Macaca mulatta: one gene and its partners. The protein of the gene in region 2 purifies or fractionates together with the protein of the main gene of each other region. This does not show direct contact. Links are inferred from orthologs where the notes say so. Each region holds a gene or a part of one and is shown on either strand. Other genes may lie near its edges.

Region 1 (5,396 bases), on a different chromosome or scaffold from region 2:
ATACAAAAATTAGCTGGGTGTGGTGGCGCACGTGCCTGTAGTCCCCACTACTTGGGAAACTGAGATGGGGCGCTCGCTTGAGCCCAGGAGTTTGAGGCTGCAGTGAGGTATAATCGGGCCATCGCACTCCTGCACTCCAGCCTCAGGGACAGAGGGAGACCCTGTGTCAAAAACAAAAACAAAACAAAACAAAAACCGGGGGGGGGGGCCTGGCACGGTGGCTCAGGCCTGTAATCCTAGCACTTTGGGAGGCCGAGGTGGGTGGATTGCCTGAGCTCAGGAGTTCAAGACCAGCCTGGGCAACATGGTGACATGGTGAAACCCTGTCTCTACAAAATACAAAAAATTAGCTGAGTGTGGTGGCGGGCTTCTGTAATCCCAGCTACTTGGGAGGCTGACACAGGAGAATCACTTGAATCCAGGAGGCAGAGGTTGCAGTGAGCTGAGATCATGCCACCACTGCATTCCAGCCTGGGTAACAGAGCAAGACTCTCTATCCAAAAAAACAAAAACAAAAAAGGACCAGACATGTTGCATTGTTAACAAACTAGTTGTTAACCTTGTGACCTCTGTAAAGGTCTCAGGGATTTCCAGAGGTCTGGGGACCACACTTTGAGAATCACTAGATTAAAAAGGAGGAAACACGGAAGGAAAAAAAGGTCACATAATGGAAACATATTGTTGAATTGAATTTAGTGTATAAAAACTCTTTAATGAAATAAAGAGTATAGACTTCAAGTACTAAGAGAAGCTAGAAGAGGAGGGATCCCTACAGTCCCTACAGAAGACTGTAGGGATTGATCAGGTCAGGAGGCAGGGTTTTAAATGGGCCTTGAAGGGTTGGTGCAGTTTGGAAGGAAGGGATGGGAGGGAAAAGCTTGCTGAATGGTATAAATGAACAAGACCCTGATGGTGAGCTCTTGAGGATATGAAAGGCAAAAAAGCACTACGGAGGGGCTTTTGTTCCCCTGTGGCCCTGCATATATGAGGAGGTGATGAGTAATTCTACATTTTTGTCAACTTTACCGTTTAAAACTCCAAGGGAGGAAAACCCTTCAAACTGATAGGCTTGGGGCTTGGTGAAGTTGGGCTATTAGTGACAAAGATGTGAAGTTTCTTATCGAAAATACATGTATGTCCAAGAAGTTCTCTGTAGATAAAAACTAACTAGAAAAAGAGTTTGTCAGAGAGGAGAAGTAGTTTTACTAATATATTTTTGATCATTTGCAAAGCCCATGGAAGTGTGTGGCAAGACGATTGTGGTGTCTTAGGATATTCACAGAGGTCTGAAACAAGGAAAACATACTTCTGTTGAAAGCACCATTCCAACATATTGTTATTATCAGCCCCTGGACTAACGGGTAGTGAGTGGGTACTGTGTCCATCAGCTCAGCGAACCGCAATTGCCTCATTGACAGCAAGCCCAGCAAGGAATCACTTGGAATATTAATTTTCGTGGCCTTTCGCAATCACATAAAGCTTGGCTCCCTGCGCTTGCCGTAATGCGGCCTCTACCATTGCTTTCCGGCGGCGGGGGGGGATTTGGCAGCAGCGGAAGAAGGAGACCGGAGGGTGTGTTTTGGGGAAAGCCGGAGGCAGAGGAGGACGATTGTTTTACGAATCCCGTGATCGGCCCGTCCTTCTCCCCTTTCCCCCCTCCCTACCGCCCCTGTCCCGCCGGGCAGCGGTGGCGGCCTTGGACTTCGCTGTCTTTCCTCGCGGAGACAGGTGAGTGTCGGCGCGCGGGCTCCCCGGGCTTCGCTCCCCACCCCCCGCGTCTCCGGGGCCGGTGGCGGCGGCCGGCCGGGGAGGCGGCCTCGGCGCACAGTAATGGCAGCGCTGTGAACAGGGGAACGCGAGCTGACAGCCGCCGCCGCCGCCTCCGCCCACCTTCCTCGCCGGGGCTTCGTCTTTCACTCCTTCGGGCTGCCTCCCCCTCCCCTTGTCCCCTGCCCCTTGCCCTGCTTCTGCAGAAGGTAACCCCGCTGAGGGTCGGGGAGCCGGGCTGCAGGCGCCGGGAAACTTCCCTTCCCGGTTAATGGGTGGCGGGGCTGGGGCGGAGGAGAGGAGTTGGGGGCGACGAGGTGTGGGGAGAGGGATGAAACGGGGAGGCCCGGTAAGATGGTATCCCGTAAGTGACCTCGGCTCCCCAGAGCGCTGACCCCTAAGCCCTGCCACCCCCTGGACTGGATCCCGGGCCTCCCCAATCCGATCTTGGCCGCCTCTCCCGCGGCCCCATTTTCCTCCGAAGGAGGGAAGGTGAGAGTGCGTGTACTCTTCTAAATATTTACGTGCTCACACGAATACACAACTCTGTGTGTTTGTGTGTGTGTGGGGGGCATCTCATGCATCCTTACCACGAGTGTTTTCACTTTTGTTTCTGCAGACTGCAAAGATTGATAGCTTTGGGGAGGAGTATCCTACGTGCATGCTAGCTAGACCTCTTGTCTCAACACTTAGGGTCTGGTGAAATAAGATCCTCACAGGCTTTCTAGCACTTGCTTACCCTCTAGGGAGTCTGGACCATTCCCTACCATTACGTGCATGCAAATAAAACATCTGTGAATTGCAGACTGTTATTAATGTTAAGCCCACATCTTTGCCCCATGGATTAATATTAACAGTTGAAGGCCAGTACCCTGGGCGTTTAAATTTTGAAGATAAGATGCAAAATATTAACATTCGCTATAGATTGTGACTGTTCAACATAAACGTCTTTGAACTAGACCTGGCCCAAGCCTACCTTCGTAGTAAAGTATGGGAAATAATCACTTTGATCTGATTGACAACTGACTACATAATAATCGCTTAAAAACATTCAAAACACTGTTGCCTACCCTTTAGAATCTTACATCCCTTTTCAAGACAAACACATGAACATAAATTAGCTATACTTTGCTTCTTTTGCCCATATACAGTATCTGGAAGATGCGTACAAAAGAGTCACGTGAGGTAACAGAAGTACACAGTTTTTTTGTTTTGAGATGGAGTTTTGCTCTTGTCGCCCAGGCTGGAGTGCAGTGGTGCCATCTTGGCTCACTGCAACCTCCGCCTCCCGGGTTCAAGCAATTCTTCTGCCTTAGCCTTCCATGTAGCTGGAATTACTGGCATATGCTACCACGCCCGGCTAATTTTGTATTTTTAGTGGAGACGGGGGTCTCACCATGTTGGCCAGGCTGGTCTCGAACTCCTGACCTCAGGTGATCCCCCTGCTTAGGCCTCCCAAAGTGCTGGGATTACCGGCCTGAGCTACAGCACCCAGCCCACAGTGTTTTGAATTACTTGTTTTTTTCAGTTGCTGTTTATGAGTTGGGGGAACATTTCTACAATGTGCATGCACATAGCGTAGGAAAAATTCCTTTTCAATTGCCTTTTGAGTATTTGGATGTTCTCCTGCATCTGAAATACTCTCCATTCTCTATCCTTTCTGGTGGCTTTAAGTGTTCTATAATTGTGAAGATTATCCATGTCTTTTACCCTCAGCAGTTTGTCACTAGATTAAATGTTATGGACCTTCTTTAAAGTCGTTTTTGTGTTGTCTGTCAGTTGACAAATATTTATTAAGTACCTGGTTTATTTGTCAAGCAGTGCTGCAGGCATTAAAGATACAAGGGTAAACAAGACACATTACATTTTTTTTTTGAGATGGAGTCTTTCTGTCACCAGGCTGAAGTGCAGTGGCACGATCTCGGCTCACTGCAACCTCTACCTCCCAGGTTCAAGCAATTCTCCTGCCTCAGCCTCTTGAGTAGCTGGCACTACAGGTGCATGCCACCACGCCCGGCTAATTTTTGTATTTTTAGTAGAGACTGGGTTTCAACCTGTTGGCCAGGATGGTCTTGATCTCTTGAGCTCGTGATCCACCCTCCTCAGCCTCCCAGAGTGCTGGGATTACAGGCGTGAGCCACTGTGCCTGGCTGACCCATTAAATTTCTATCCTCGTGGAGTGTCAATTCTGGCTTGGGATGGAGAGACAGATGGTAAATAAGAAGTAATCTCAGAGAATAAGTGCTGTGTGGGAAATAAGGTAAGGAGTTGTGGTAGTAATTGGGGGATTACTTCAGATACTGTAACCGGAAAAGACCTTCCTGAGGTAAAGTTTGAAATTCTGAGGGAAAAGTTTTCCTGTTTTAGGGAGGAGCAAATGGAAAAACCCTGAGGTGCTATCAAACTTGGATCCAACAAACTGAAATTGGCTTAAGGTGGACCCTTATAGAGATTAAAGGTGGGTCCTAGCCAGGGGCTGGATCATGTTGGCTTTTGTTCTTATGATACATTAAAAGGCTTTTGGAACTCTTCTAAACTGGGAGTGATAAGGTCTGATTGAGAATCAGACTCAACTGGAGAAGAGGAGAGATGCAAGGAGACCAGTGATAAGAGCAGTGGCTGTGGAGGGTTAAGGTACAAGTGACAGGTTTTGAGATTTATTTTGGAGTTGAAGATACTTATTGAAATTGTCATGTTTTAGATGAGCATGCAGTGGGACAGGGGTCACTCCCGGGTTTTTGGCTTCCGCTGGAGAATGATGATGCTGTGTACTGAGATGAAGAAGGGTGGGGGGAAGCAGGCTGTTGTATGGGATGGGGTTGGGTTGGACATGTTAAGTTGGATCTCATTGTTCAAGTGGAGGTGAGAAGTAGGTGATTGGAAATAAGTGTAGAACTTAGTGAGAGGTTGAGGAGTGATTAACTCATTGAACAAGGGCTTCTCAAGCACCAGCTTTAAACCAGATGTGTGGATATAGTAGTTTAAAAATCTCTGGCTTCATGGAACTTAACTTCTAGTGAAGAGAGAAAGATGGATATGGAGAGTCCTCAGCATTTATTTATTGGTATACTAATGTGTTTAACAAAAACTATATTCACGTGACTCAAAATTTAAAATGTTAGTCTGGGCAACATGGTGAGACCACATGTCTACAAAAAATAATTTAAAAAAAATTTGCCAGGCATGGTGGCACATGCCTGTAGTACCCACTATTGGGAAACTGAGGCCAGATGCCCAGGTTGGAAGTGGCAGTGATCTATGATTGCACCACGGCACTCCAGCCTGAGTGACAGAGTGAGACCCTGTCTCTAAAACAAACAAACAGAAAACCAAAATATTCAACTGTTAATAGGGAATAGAATGAATATCTCTCTCCACTCCTTGTACCCTTGTCATCCAGCTTTCCTTGGAGCCAAACATTGTTAGCTGTTTCTTAGATATCCTTGGAAAAAATATTTGTGGACATATAAGCAAATATTGTCCCCACTTTGCAGAAATGGTAATACACTTGCTTTGACATTTGTATTTTTTAGAGTGTTAAGTAGTACTTAAGTTACGAAATAGGATGAGAACACAGAGAATGTAGAAAGAAGAGGAGAAAACTGGAGTACTGCAGTGTATTCTGATTT
Region 2 (4,764 bases):
AGTAATTTACATTTAAGCCACTCGTGAAGATAAACTGCTGCTCATCATCCCTCTTCAACCCTGTCCTGTAGGTGGTATCACCTTATGTTCTTACCACCAAAGAAAATATGGCCCCTCTCTTAGGACTATCCTTAGATCATGCCTCATATGTTGATGCCAAAGAGTTCTTTTGTGCCAATTTCATAACGTGTGTCAGCACAACAATTCTGAAGATTTGTTGGTGTCCTTCATGTACTTGACTACAAATTGCCTTGTCATCATCACTCTTCCCAAAGGATATCTGAAATTCTTTCTTTCTTTTTTTTTTTTTTGTGAGACGGAGTCTCACTCTGTCGCCCAGGCTGGAGTGCAGTGGCGTGATCTTGGCTCACTCCACCTCCTGAGCTCAAGCAATTCTCGTGCCTCAGCCTCTCAGGTAGCTGGGACTACAGACGTGCACCACCACACCGGGTTAATTTTTTGTATTTTTAGTAGAGACAGGGTTTTGCCATGTTGGCCAGGCTCTTGAACTCCCAGGCTCAAGCGACCCATCTGCCTCAGCCTCCCAAAGTGCTGGGATTACAGGCATGAGCCACTGTGCCCAGCCTAGATATCTGAAATTCTTAACTGAAATTAGTCAAATTATCTTGTACTGGGAATTTTTTTTTTAATTTCAACTTTTATATTTGATTCAGGGGATACATACATAGGTTTGTTACATGGGTATATCATGTGATGCTGAGGTTTGGGGTACAATTGATCCTGTCACCCAGATAGTGAGCATAATACCCAACAGTTGTTCAACCCTTGCCCCTCTCTCCTAGTAGTCCTCAGTGTCTGTTGATGCCATCTTTATGTCCACAAGTAACCCAATGTTTAGCTCCCACTTACAAGTGACAGCATGCAGCATTTGGTTTTCTGTGTCTGGGTTATCTCACTTAGGATAATGGTCTCTGGATGCATCCATGTTGCTGCAAAGAACATGATTTCATTCTTTTTTATGGCTGCATACTGTGCATTGTATTGGGTCTTTATTTTGTAATAGCATTTTAAAACCCTAAATGTGACAAAGTACACGTGAGTGATCATGCATCTCAAGAAATCCTAAAATGTTCCTGTCCATAAAGCAGAATTTTTTAAGACTTTTTGACAGTCCCCCTTCCCCTCACTGTGTCAAGTGCTCATTTGTGAATTACTAATTTCTCTTGTTTTGACAGTGGTATTATTCAGCACGACTTGATTTTCTCCCTTCAACAAACAGAATGTGTCCTTAAACCAGTTGAATCTTCAGATATGAAAATGACTCAGCTATTCACCAAAGTTGAATCAGAAGATACAAGTAGCCTCTTTGACAAACTTAAGAAGGAACCTGATGCTTTAACTTTGCTGGCCCCAGCCGCTGGAGACACAATCATATCTTTAGATTTTGGCAGCAACGGTGAGTAGTTATTTTGTTAATGCCCTAAATTGTGTCTGTTGCTACAAGCCTCATTTCAACTAAACATTACTTTGACGTTTTTTGTTGGTAATCATTTGGACATTACAAGCTAATATATTTTTATAGTTTTCTTAAATGTATTTGCTTAAATATTTTTGCCCTCGTAATTTCTTACCATTCTTGCTTTTTTATATTGTTGGAAATTGTGCTTCAAAGTGTCCTTAAGGTATTTCTTCTTCCCACATAAATTTTTCCTGGCTGCTCTATTTCTGTATCCTGCTGTCAGATTTTCTCCACAGTTTAGCAGAGTTACATGGAAGTAGGCATTGTTGCATTAAAGGATAAAAAGGCAGTCATACTATAACATGAAGCATTGAAGATGAAAACTGCAATTTTAAAGTAGAGAACATTTTAATGTATAAAAAGGTTGGTGTTGCCTTTTGTCTTTTATGCCGTAGAGATTAAGAGGAGGTATCAATAGTGGATTGTAAAGATAACCCAGACTTATGGTTATACTATACTATTATATGTAAACTTTCTGATGAAGGAAAATTTGTTAACATTTTGTTGTTTGATGAATTAGACAAACCTTCCGTGAAAAGGAACACAAATTTTTTGTATGTTAAAATCCCTGTGGCCAGGCGCAGTGGCTCACGCCTGTAATCCCAGCACTCTGGGAGGCCAAGGCGGGTGGATCACTTGAGGTTAGGAGTTCGAGACCAGCCTGGCCACCATGGTGAAACCCCGTCTCTACCAAAAATACAAAAATTAGCTGGGCGTGGTGGTGTGCGCCTGTAATCCCAACTACTTGGGAGGCTAAGGCAGGAGAATTGCTTGAACCTGGGAGGCAGAGGTGGCAGTGAGCCAAGATTGCACCATTGTACTCCAGCCTGGGCAACAGAGCAAGACTGTCTTGGGTTAAAAAAAAAAATCCTTGTATACTTTAGACTGACTCGTATTTTTTCCCCACAGACACAGAAACTGATGACCAGCAACTTGAGGAAGTACCATTGTATAATGATGTAATGCTCCCCTCATCCAACGAAAAATTACAGAATATAAATTTGGCAATGTCTCCATTACCCACCTCTGAAACGCCAAAGCCACTTCGAAGTAGTGCTGACCCTGCACTCAATCAAGAAGTTGCATTAAAATTAGAACCAAATCCAGAGTCACTGGAACTTTCTTTTACCATGCCCCAAATTCAGGATCAGCCACCTAGTCCTTCTGATGGAAGCACTAGACAAAGTTCACCTGAGGTAGGTGTCATGATATAATCAGAAAGAGACAACTTTCAGATTTTAACATTCAAGAATGTATTTATAAGTTTGACTCAAACACTCATTTGAACCACAAATTACATTTGTGTGTGTGTTTGAATTTTAGCACTTTAAAATTATTGCAAGAGCTATTGCCTAACTTAGACCTGAGCATATGTTTTAGGCTCAAAGATAGTCAGGAACATGGGAAGAAACTAGCTTAATATAAACCAAAAGGTGAAATGTACATTATTTCTCTGTATCAGTAGGACAAAAACATCCTGAATTTGGACATTTAAAGAGAATAGTACTAAGTGTGCTCAAGGTAGCCACAGCCTATACCTGTTACCCCTTTTAGTTTGTTTTATTGTGTTTTGTTTTGTTTTGAGAGTCTCACTATCACCCAGGCTGGAGTGCAGTGGTGCAATCACAGCTCACTACAGCCTCAACCTTCCAGGCTCAAATGATTCTCCCACCTCAGTCTCCCGAGTAGCTGGGACTACAGGCCCGTACCACCATGCCTGGCTGATTTTTTAACCATTTTTTTTTTTGGTGGAGTCAGGGTTCTCACTATATTGCCCAGGCTGGTTTTAAACTCCTGGGCTCAAGTGATCCTCCTGCCTTGGCCTCCCGAAGTACTAGGATTACAGGCGTGAGCTCCCATGCCTGGCCCATTACCCCTTTGAGTTGGAGAACTGTCTGGTAGCAATAGACTTAACAGGGTTTAAATGGGAAAGGACTTTATAAATTCTTTGCCCAGTTTAGTCCAATTTCCATCACTATTTTGAAATTTTGGATAAGTATAACATGAAAATAACAAGTGTTACATAAAATACTTAGTAACTGGTCTTTTTTATTCTGGATCTGTCTTGATATTAATTGTCCTATAAACACAATAAAAATAATCTTTAAAGGCTAGGCTGGCCAAGACTGGAGATATCACACAGGGCTCTATTTCTAAATCTAGAATGATTCCATTTTAGGGCTTTGTACATCTAAAAATATACTCAGTAGGACAACTAAGATCCGAACATTATAACTTGATAAATGAGGCATAAATAAGCTTTAATAAGTGGTAAATAATTCTACATTGAATATTTGTTGAATAAAACTGACAAGCTAAGAGTAGGAGATTTGACATCTCATAGCCTTGTGGTGAATGAATATATATCCTATGCTCTGGTTGCTTAATTTACCCACCACAAAAAAAAAGTTTGGTTCATCTTGGTTTTTATCTAACAAAAGTAAATCTAACAAAAACATTAGAATGAGGAAAGCAAAATTTCTTGTTTAGAATACACAGCTATAGTTTTTTGTTAAAATTCTTGCCCAGAACTCTTAAAATAGTAATAATGTACATTCGTTCAGGTATATGCAGGTAAAATAACTTAAGTTTCTACTCCCACTCCTGACAATAGCTGTGAGATTTTTACGTAGCTCAGTCACCACAGGAATGTGCCTTCTCAGTTCAAAGATAAATTTCAGTGAATGTAGCATCTAGTTAATTGGTCAATTAGGTACCATTGTGGAATGTGAATTACCAAATAGGTTTTATTCTTAGAATAAGGTGTTTCTTTTCATCTTAATTTTGTAAATGATGTTATATTACATAGTCAGAAATATGTATATTGGCAAAATTAGTTACCAGTATAAGCTTCAAAATGTCACTATTTTCACTTTTTTTTTTTTTGAGATGGAGTCTCACTCTGTCACCAGGCTAGAGTGCAGTGGCACGATCTTGGCTCACTGCAGCCTCCGCTTCCCAGGTTCAAGTGATTCTCCTGCCTCAGCCTCCTGAGTTGCTGGGATTACAGGCATATGTCACCATGCCCAGCTAATTTTTGTATGTTTAGTAGAGACGAGGTTTCACCATGTTGGCCAGGATGGTCTCAATCTCTTGACCTCGTGATCCACCCGCCTTGGCTTCCCAAAGTGCTGGGATTACAGGCGTGAGCCACCAAGCCCAGCCTAGTTAAATAAAATTTGATAAACACGATGGACTTGGTTGTGTGTTTTCTGGTTTTTCTGAGATCTAGTTTGAAAATTCTGACAACTAGCAAAGTATATGGAGGCTTCTTCAGGAAATAG
Region 3 (4,764 bases), on a different chromosome or scaffold from region 2:
GATAAAATTAATCTATAGTGTTAGAAATGAGGATAATGGTTACCCTTGTGAAGGGAATAGTAACTGGAAGGGGAAATAAGGAGGGCTTTGGAGGTGTAGTTGACCCTTGAACAACACAAGTTTGAACTGTGTGGATCTACTTATACATGGGTATAAGGCTCAAGCGATTCTCCTGCCTCAGCCTCCTGAGTAGCTGGGATTACAGGTGCCCACCACCAAGCCCAGCAAATTTTTAGTGGAGATGGGGTTTCACCATGTTGGCCAGGCTGGTCTCGAACTCCTGACCTCAAGTGATCCGCCCACCTTGGCCTCCCAAAGTGGTGGGATTACAGGTGTGAGCCACTGTGCCCAGCCCTCCTTATGATTTTCTTTTTTTATTTTATTTTTTTTTTTTTGAGACGGAGTCTCGCGCTGTGTCACCCAGGCTGGAGTGCAGTGGCGCGATCTCGGCTCACTGCAAGCTCCGCCTCCCAGGTTCACGCCATTCTCCTGCCTCAGCCTCCGAGTAGCTGGGACTACAGGCACCCGCCACCACGCCCGGCTAGTTTTTTTTTTTGTATTTTTAGTAGAGACGGGGTTTCACCATGTTAGCCAGGATGGTCTCGATCTCCTGACCTCGTGATCCACCCTCCTCGGCCTCCCAAAGTGCTGGGATTACAGGCTTGAGCCACCGCGCCCGGCCATGATTTTCTTAACATTTTCTTTTCTCTAGCTTTATTTTCAAAACACAGTATATAATACATATATAACATACAAAATATGTGTTAATTAACTGTTTATGTTGTTGGTAATGCTTCCAGTTAACAGTAGGATATTAGTAGTTAAGTTTTGGGGGAGTCAAAAATAATATGCAGATTTTCAACTGTGCAGTGGGTCAGCACCTGTTCTGGTAATGTTCTGTTTCTTGATACAAGTGGGTTTGGTTTGTGAAAATTATTTGAGCTGTAGACTTAATATTATGTGCACTTTTCCCTTACATCTGTTATACTGTGCCTGTTTCTGTACATATGTTACATATGAAATGTTTATTAAAGGGGTATATTGGGTAACTCAGAATTTCTGGTGCTCCTGGCTATATATACCAAATCCCAATTCAGGATTCAACAACCCAGATCATGCCACTGAACTGCAGTACCACTGCCAAGTGTGAAATTGCAGCTTGCTCTGCTGGCCTTGTTGCCTGGGAGCTTGATCCTGCTTCTGCTACTCCACACCTGCCTCCCAACCTGTTCCATTCCTGGCTCCATTTGCAGCCCTCCTTTCAACGTGTGGGGTGGATACCTTTGTTAGGCAGAGCCTAGCACAAGTGGTCCTCCTTACTGCAAGGGAGTCTGTGAAAGCAAGTATCCAGTGTTTTCAGCTTTTATAGTGGGTGGTGATTTCTGCCAGAAATTGTAACAAGGGGACAAGGGGTATTTCAGATTTGGGACAGCCAAAAAGAGAGGAAAATCCATCTTTGAGGTGAGCATTTAGGCCAGTAGAAGAAAATAGACTTCAGGTGTTAGGAACAATAGAAGCCCAGGGTAGAGGTTGAATAGAGTATGGCATTTGAGCCCGGTGGAAACAAGTTTAACTGGATTACAGGGTGTGCTCTGGGAAAATAGTTTGAGAGAAGTTGAAGCAATAGGATGGGACAAGATTAAAGATTACTTTGAAAGTCAGGCAGAGGAATTTAAATTTCATATGGGAATTTTGGAACCAGTAAAAGTTTTTGAACAAGAAAGTGTCGTAAAAGGAAATGGTGCTTAAGGATTGTTAATCTGGCAGCACTTCTAGGGGTATCTAGGCATTGTTTGTCATAATTTAGGTATGGGGTGATAGATTGGGAGTAGAAATAAAAGGCAAAGATTGGATTTAAGAGAAGATTTGAAGGAAAAAAAATCAACAAGACTTCTTGAAGAGAAAGAAGTAGAGGCTATTTCTGAAACTGAGCTTGAGTGACTGATCCCACTCTTCATTTAGAGCTAGCGAGGCTGAGGAGGGACCCAGTTTGGGGGAAGTAGAAGAATGAACTTTAGTTTGAGAATTGCTGAGTTTGAGGTGAGAGATATTGAGTAAAAGTGGTCCCTGTGTAGTTAGAGTTGGGGACCAAGAAGTGGAAAGAATTGTACTCCCAGGTATAAAGGCTGTGAAGGGAATGGAACAGAGTGTGCCAGAACCCTCGGGGTGTTTCTGAGCTCTTGTTTACAGGCCACCAGGTATACTATCTTGAATTTGATTTCAAGTGATACATTTGAACCACAACCTCTACCTTCTGTTTCATAAAACGTCAGTTCTCACACCCCAAGACACATTGATGCTATCCCTATTATACATGGTCTTCTTCCTGTTATTCTAATATCTTTGGAAAGAAAACGATTAATACATTTGAGGCTTTTCTTGGTTATTTTCAATACTTTTGAATGCTTTGAATACAAGGAGAATAATATACTAAAGCTAGAGACCTTAAACAAGACCAAGAAAGACTGAATATAAAAAGCAAACCTCCAGTTCATTAAAATTGTAAGTTGGAGCTCTTGGCTCCACGGCAGGGAGCCTTGGATCAGTAAGTGTGACAGCTCCCTTCCGTATTGTACTTAGAAAAGAATGATCATAAAACCTACTTAGGCCTCACAAGGTCTTTTTGAGCCTTAGCCAATGCATTTAGTCACTGTCAGTAACCACAAGCTTTAGTATAATATTCTGGCTTGCAAAGCAGCCAGGTCTCCAGAGCATGACGATAGGCTCTTGTATACGACTTGAATGCTGTTGCCGAGGCATACCTTCTTGATATTCATCTTAGCACTTTTCTCGAGTCTATAGCATGTCCGTACCTGTAGATGACAGTGGATTGCTCAGATATTATTAAAGAGTATGCAAGTATCTTAACAGGAAACAGCTTACTCTTTGGGTAATGTGTGATACAGTGAAGAAAATCCCTTAAATGGTTGCTCAATATTTATGCTGCTGGCATGTGTGCTGGAATATTTTTTCACCTCTGAATTCGTATTTTGAGTCCTTGGGCTCTTCAGTTTAATAGGTAATGTTTCTGTGTTTAAGTGTAGAAGATCAATCATGTTAGCTGAAAAGTCCCAAGGCTTTTCTGTCTCTGTAATATTTCTCTGCCTAAAGAGGTAGCAGGTTGAAAATTTAGGAAGTAACTCTGTGTCAAAAAATTCATCAGCCTTTCTAATCAATTAGATTTTAAAGTGAAACAAAGTGATAAACTTTGCATTTATAAGAATTCATGTTTTTCTTACGGATTTAACAGCCCTTTGCAACTCTGCTTCCTTGGTTACATGATACTCGGAAAGAATATCTGATCACATCAGAATAAAATCGTTTGAGAAGACATCCATGTGTCATAGGTTATGTAGCTTGCAGCAGGATTTAAAGCAACAAGATGATAGAATCTATCATTATTTTTGCAGACAATGTTTCACCAGCTGGTTTGAGAGGAGTTTTACACCCCTACCAGGCTTTCTCTTACCTCATTTACCTCAAAAATCACAAGTCCTAACAGGCAAACTGTAATAGCCTAAAACAAAACTAGTAAGGTATAAATGCATGTGGAAATGATTATTTGAAGGCAAAAGGCAAATAAATGTCACCAGTCTGAGCCATTACCTAAGCATCCTAGGTCTAGTAACCATTCTTTTGGTAAGGGATAATGCCAACTTTTTATCAATAGGATTCTGTTAAAAATACAAAGAAAAACAGTCAGCAGGATACTCTCTATATATATACACATACATATATATACATATGTATGCGTATACATATATATGTATGGGTATATATATAGTATCCTGCTGACTGCATGTATATATATGTGTGTATATATGTATGTGTATATATATAGTATCCTGCTGACTGCTGACATATATGTATGTGTATACAGAGATATACTTTTGTTTCATTTTAGAGCTGGTTGAACTTCAGTGGTGGATAGAGCTTGTTTTTAATTTATATGTATTTTTGTAGTACAATTTTAAAATCTTATTTTTTAAAATAAATCCAGGAGCTGTGCAGTCTTACGCATTGGAACTTAATTTGACAGATTCAGGAAAAGCCACTTGCCTTTATGCAAAATGGCAGATGAATTTCACAGTACGCTATGAAACTACAAATAAAACTTATGTAAGTATATATTTTAATTTTTCTTTGAGTTTTATAGTAGGAATTTAATTGACTTTTTTAATCCTTTAGATACATGTATACAAATGAAATTCCACATTGACTGACTTAATGCTTAAACTCTGGGAGTTTTTTTAAGCATATACACTCGGAAGTTATTCTGTTTAGTGTTAGAATGAATATTTCTTCTGATTCATTGGTTCTTGGGAGTTTTTGCAGGACTTGATTAAGGGCAAATGATCTGAAGATGACTATATGGTGTTCAGGTCTAACTATTTCTGTAAAGTGTTTAAAATGTACTAGCACCAAAGCTTGCCCTTTTAAAAAATAGCTTCCCTTCTGGGCGTGGTGTCTCATGCCTGTGATCCCAGCATTTTGGAAGGCCAAAGCAGGAGGATTGCTTGAGCCCAGCCTTGGCAACATAGTGAGACCTCATCTCTACCTAGAAAAAAATTTAAAAATTAGCCAGGCATGGTGGCATATACATGTAGCTCCAGCCACTTGCCAGGTCGAGGGGGGAAGATCGCTTGAGCCCAGGAAGTTGAGTCTGCAGTGAGCGATGGTTGTGCTACTGCACTCCAGCCTGGGCAACAGAGCGAGACTCTAGCTCAAAAAAAAAAAAAAATGCTTACTTAGGTTGGTACAAAA
Region 4 (4,764 bases), on a different chromosome or scaffold from region 2:
GGCATCGCCCGAGCCCTGTGCGCCACCCGCCAGGAGCCACTGCTCGTCGGCTCCACGAAGTCCAACATGGGGCACCCGGAGCCAGTCTCGGGGCTGGCAGCCCTGGCCAAGGTAGGTGGAGCTGGGCTTGGGGGTCCCTCAGCCCCCTGCTCCCTGGGACTGGGTTGCGCCATGGCTGGGCACTGCTGCTTCCCGTTTGCCAAGTGGAGGCAGGGGCTTCCCCACCAGGAACCCCTGTCCCCCGGGCTATGCTTCGGGTCTGAGCAGAGGCACTGAGGCTGACAGCAGGGAGAGCTCATAGCCAGGCTCACTGGACCTTCCCTGGGGGTCTCACGTCCTGCCGAGCGCCTGCCAGACATGGAGCGAAGCTGGAGGAGCCACTTGGGTTGGAAGAGCGAGACAGAAGCAGGCCTGGGGGAGGTCAGCTGCAGCATCAGGGTTTCCCGTGTTGCCCACCCGTGTCTACAGCTTCCCGACCCACTAACAGAGGCCTGCGGCTCTTCAGAGACCAGGCACAGGAGCCCCGACACCCACAGTCACTCGGGCCTTCTGCAGCCTCTGAGATGCAACATCTGGACCAAGGGGGCCTTAGTGTTCAGGCCACAGCCAGGCTTTGGAGGGTCCACATCAGGCTGGGAGGCAGCAAGGCCCGAAGGGGAGGTCTTGGACCAAGCTGAGGGCAGGGCCACGGCGGCTCAGTCATCAGACCCCTGTGCCATGGCAGGATTAGGTTGGGGACAGGAAGTGTGTCGGAGAGGGCCCTGGAACCCTGGCCCCACGTGAGCGTCCCGGGGCGGCGCCTGCCCCCAGCTCAGGCAGCAGTGCAGGGAGTGGGGCGGCTGCCCACCCACCATGTACCCCCACAGGTGCTGCTGTCCCTGGAGCACGGGCTCTGGGCCCCCAACCTGCACTTCCACAGCCCCCACCCTGAGATCCCAGCACTGTTGGATGGGCGGCTGCAAGTGGTGGCCCAGCCTCTGCCCGTCCGTGGTGGCAACGTGGGCATCAACTCCTTTGGCTTTGGGGGTTCCAACGTGCACGTCATCCTGAGGCCCCACACGCAGCCGCCCCCGGCACCCGCCCCACACGCCAGCCTGCCCCGTCTGCTGCGGGCTAGTGGACGCACCCCTGAGGCCGTGCAGGAGCTGCTGGAGCAGGGCCTCCAGCACAGCCAGGAGCTGGCTTTCCTGAGCATGCTGAATGACATCGCGGCCATCCCCACCACGGCCATGCCCTTCCGCGGCTATGCCGTGCTGGGTGGCGAGCACAGTGGCCCAGAGGTGCAGCAGGTGCCCGCTGGCGAGCGCCCACTCTGGTTCATCTGCTCTGGTGAGCCCACACTCTGTCCCCAAGGTGGTCCCTTCTCTGGGGAGAGGGCAGGCGAGCTGGAGCCGGTGGTCTCCTGAGGTGCTCTCTGGGACAGGGATGGGCACCCAGTGGCACGGGATGGCGCTAAGCCTCGTGACATACTCTCTGGGACAGGGATGGGCACGCAGTGGCGCGGGATGGCGCTAAGCCTCGTGACATACTCTCTGGGACAGGGATGGGCACGCAGTGGCGCGGGATGGGGCTGAGCCTCATGCGCCTGGACCGCTTCCGAGACTCTATCCTGCGCTCCGACGAGGCTGTGAAGCCGTTCGGCCTGAAGGTGTCGCAGCTGCTTCTGAGCATGGACGAGAGCACCTTTGACGACATCGTCCACGCTTTCGTGAGCCTGACTGCCATCCAGGTAGGACCCAGCTTGCCCGTGTGTGTGCAATGCCAGCGCAGGGCTCTGGCTTTCCCTGGAGCCCAGGAGCTGCAGTCTCTAGTCAGGACCCTGACAGCCTCTTTGCCGGGCAGAGCCTTGTGCTGGGGGTAGGACGGGAGCAGGGAGGGGAGGGGTCTCAGTGGGGCCTGGGTGCTGGGGCCACAGGGGCTTCTCCTGCCAGGAGACCTGGGAGGGTCGATGCGGCCGGGGTGGAGATGGCCCAGTGGGGCCGGGGGGCCGCCCCCAACAGCTGCACCTGCTGGAGGTTGCGAGCTGAGTGTCCTGTTTCTACCCCAGATAGGCCTGATAGACCTGCTGAGCTGCATGGGGCTGAGACCAGACGGCATCATCGGCCACTCTCTGGGGGAGGTGGCCTGTGGCTATGCTGACGGCTGCCTGTCCCAGGAGGAGGCCGTCCTCGCTGCCTACTGGAGGGGGCAATGCATCAAAGAAGCCCATCTCCCACCGGGCGCCATGGCAGCCGTGGGTAGGTGTCCCCGAGGTCTCCCAGAGGGGCCCCCAGCACCTCCAAGAAAGGAGGCTGCCTTCTCGCTGTGGGGTCCTCACCTGCAGCCCTGGCCTGGCCCCTGTAGGATAGAGTGGCCCCCGCTGGCCCAGGGACACCCAGCTCAGACACAGCCGTGCGCAAGTCCCCGTGCAGCTGCCCCACTGCTCCCACACCTGGCAGCCTTGGGCCTAGGCACGTGCCCATGGGCATCAGGCCTGCATGGAGCCCCCTGGGACACAGCCCCGGCATAGTAAGAACCCAGGGGCTTTAGTGAAGCCAACACACAGGTCGCCAGGGTTCCCTCAGACTGGTTGACACCCATCTCAGCCCTGTGGGCCACATGTGGGCAGGGCTTGGAAAGAACTGGGACTGCAGAGGACTGAGGGGCCACCATCTGGGACTGGGCTCCCAGGAGCTGCCCCTGGCAGCTCTGTAATGACGCCTCCACCCACGGGTCAAACACAGCAGGGGGCGAACGTTTCTCATGAAGGCTCCAAGGCTGCCATTACTACGCCTATCATTACTGCCCCCAGCTGCAGGCGGTGTCCTGGGTAGGTGGGTGGCTGGGAGCGGCTCAGTCCCCACGCTAAGCCTCTGAGGCTGGCTCTGCCATAGGCTTGTCCTGGGAGGAGTGTAAACAGCGCTGCCCCCCGGGCGTGGTGCCCGCCTGCCACAACTCCAAGGACACAGTCACCATCTCGGGACCTCAGGTGGGTGCTGCGGCCCAGGCTGGCTCCTCTGTCCCCTGCGCCTGCCATTGCAAGTCTGGCAGGGACATGCGGCCACGGTCTATGCCCTGTGAGGCTCTGACGGGCCTGGGGATGGGGCAGGCTTGTCCCCAGGTCCCTTGCGCATTCCCTCTTGGTTCTCTCTACCTCCCTGAGCCTGAGGTGGGTGCCTGGCCAGGATGCTCATCCAGGCTCCCACGATGCCCAGGCCTCTGTGTTCGAGTTCATGGAGCAGCTGAGGAAGGAGGGTGTGTTTGCCAAGGAGGTGCGGACCGGCGGCATGGCCTTCCACTCCTACTTCATGGAGGCCATCGCACCCCCACTGCTGCAGGCGCTCAAGAAGGTGCTGACTCGGCCCGGGGGGCGCGGGGCGGGCCGGGGTGCCCGTGACCCAGCACTGACCTGGCCCCTCGTGCAGGTGATCCGGGAGCCGAAGCCACGTTCAGCCCGCTGGCTCAGCACCTCCATCCCCGAGGCCCAGTGGCACAGCAGCCTGGCACGCACGTCCTCCGCCGAGTACAATGTCAACAACCTGGTCAGCCCTGTGCTGTTCCAGGAGGCCCTGTGTCACGTGCCCGAGCACGCGGTGGTGCTGGAGGTCGCGCCCCATGCCCTGCTGCAGGTAGGCCCAGCCTGGGGGCGGCGGGCGCCGGGAATCTGGGACGGGCACCTCGGCTGAGCACCAAGGGAGCCCACGCGCCCTGCCGCCCCCAGGCTGTCCTGAAGCGTGGCCTGAAGCCGGGCTGCACCATCATTCCCCTGATGAAGAAGGATCACAGGGACAACCTGGAGTTCTTCCTCACCGGCATCGGCAGGCTGCACCTCTCAGGGTGGGTCCCTTCCCATCGCGGGCCTCATCTCCTGCAGTCGACGGCGTGGGGTGGGTGAGCAGGGCTGCCGGACCCTCACTGACCCAGGCTGGTGGGGGCAGCCCTGGATGGTCCACCACAGGGAGTGGGTCGGCTGAACCCAGAGCCCCTGGACCCCGGTGACGGATGTGCCGCCTGTGCCTCCCTTCTTCACAGCATCGACGCCAACCCCAATGCCCTGTTCCCGCCTGTGGAGTTCCCAGCTCCCCGAGGAACCCCCCTCATCTCCCCACTCATCAAGTGGGACCACAGCCTGGCCTGGGACGTGCCAGCTGCCGAGGACTTCCCCAACGGCTCTGGTTCCCCCTCGGCCGCCGTCTACAACATCGGTGAGCAGGGGCCCGGCGGGTGGGCAAGCTCTTCCCTCCCCACACCAGTGCTGAGGCCTGTGCCCTCCTGCAGACACCAGCTCCGAGTCTCCCGACCACTACCTGGTGGATCACACCATCGACGGCCGCGTCATCTTCCCCGCCACTGGCTACCTGTGCATAGTGTGGAAGACGCTGGCCCGGGCCCTGGGCCTGGCCGTGGAGCAGCTGCCTGTGGTGTTTGAGGACGTGGTGCTGCACCAGGCCACCATCCTGCCCAAGACTGGTGAGGGGCACCCCAGGACCAAGGCGGGGGCAGCTGGGGGCAGGTGCTGCCCTCTGATCTCTGACTCTCCTGCTCTGCAGGGACCGTGTCCCTGGAGGTACGGCTCCTGGAGGCCTCCCGCGCCTTCGAGGTGTCACAGAACGGCAACCTGATAGTGAGTGGTAAGCAGGGCTGGTGGCGTGGGAGCTGCGGGGGCTGTGCCCGCTGGCCATGCCACCCGTCTTCAGGTTCTTCCACACCTGCCTGCCTGCAGGGAAGGTGTACCAGTGGGAGGACCCTGACCCCAGGCTCTTCAACCACCCGGAAAGCCCCACC

The links.
Region 1: the proteins of HIF1A (region 2) and CUL2 purify together in Homo sapiens (affinity purification with western blotting; 7 studies listed by BioGRID and IntAct, with this or other methods). This does not show direct contact. The link is inferred for Macaca mulatta from reciprocal best matches to the Homo sapiens genes HIF1A and CUL2.
Region 3: the proteins of HIF1A (region 2) and LAMP2 purify together in Homo sapiens (affinity purification with western blotting; 3 studies listed by BioGRID). This does not show direct contact. The link is inferred for Macaca mulatta from reciprocal best matches to the Homo sapiens genes HIF1A and LAMP2.
Region 4: the proteins of HIF1A (region 2) and FASN purify together in Homo sapiens (affinity purification with western blotting; 3 studies listed by BioGRID and IntAct, with this or other methods). This does not show direct contact. The link is inferred for Macaca mulatta from reciprocal best matches to the Homo sapiens genes HIF1A and FASN.

Annotation. Positions count from the first base shown.
Region 1 is NC_133414.1:36,494,158-36,499,553, reverse strand, and holds the start of CUL2 (cullin-2), read left to right. Parts: upstream 1-1,858; 5' UTR 1,859-1,976; exon of another isoform or gene 1,977-2,259; intron 2,260-4,134; exon of another isoform or gene 4,135-4,225; intron 4,226-5,396.
Region 2 is NC_133412.1:134,846,621-134,851,384, forward strand, and holds part of HIF1A (hypoxia-inducible factor 1-alpha), read left to right. Parts: intron 1-1,196; coding exon 1,197-1,417; intron 1,418-2,389; coding exon 2,390-2,676; intron 2,677-4,764.
Region 3 is NC_133426.1:126,855,740-126,860,503, reverse strand, and holds part of LAMP2 (lysosome-associated membrane glycoprotein 2 precursor), read left to right. Parts: intron 1-4,000; coding exon 4,001-4,119; intron 4,120-4,764. UniProt on the Homo sapiens protein: Lysosomal membrane glycoprotein which plays an important role in lysosome biogenesis, lysosomal pH regulation and autophagy.
Region 4 is NC_133421.1:91,793,005-91,797,768, reverse strand, and holds part of FASN (fatty acid synthase), read left to right. Parts: coding exon 1-111; intron 112-866; coding exon 867-1,329; intron 1,330-1,541; coding exon 1,542-1,729; intron 1,730-2,047; coding exon 2,048-2,237; intron 2,238-2,873; coding exon 2,874-2,968; intron 2,969-3,194; coding exon 3,195-3,329; intron 3,330-3,404; coding exon 3,405-3,608; intron 3,609-3,700; coding exon 3,701-3,816; intron 3,817-4,011; coding exon 4,012-4,184; intron 4,185-4,257; coding exon 4,258-4,449; intron 4,450-4,529; coding exon 4,530-4,610; intron 4,611-4,702; coding exon 4,703-4,764. UniProt on the Homo sapiens protein: Fatty acid synthetase is a multifunctional enzyme that catalyzes the de novo biosynthesis of long-chain saturated fatty acids starting from acetyl-CoA and malonyl-CoA in the presence of NADPH.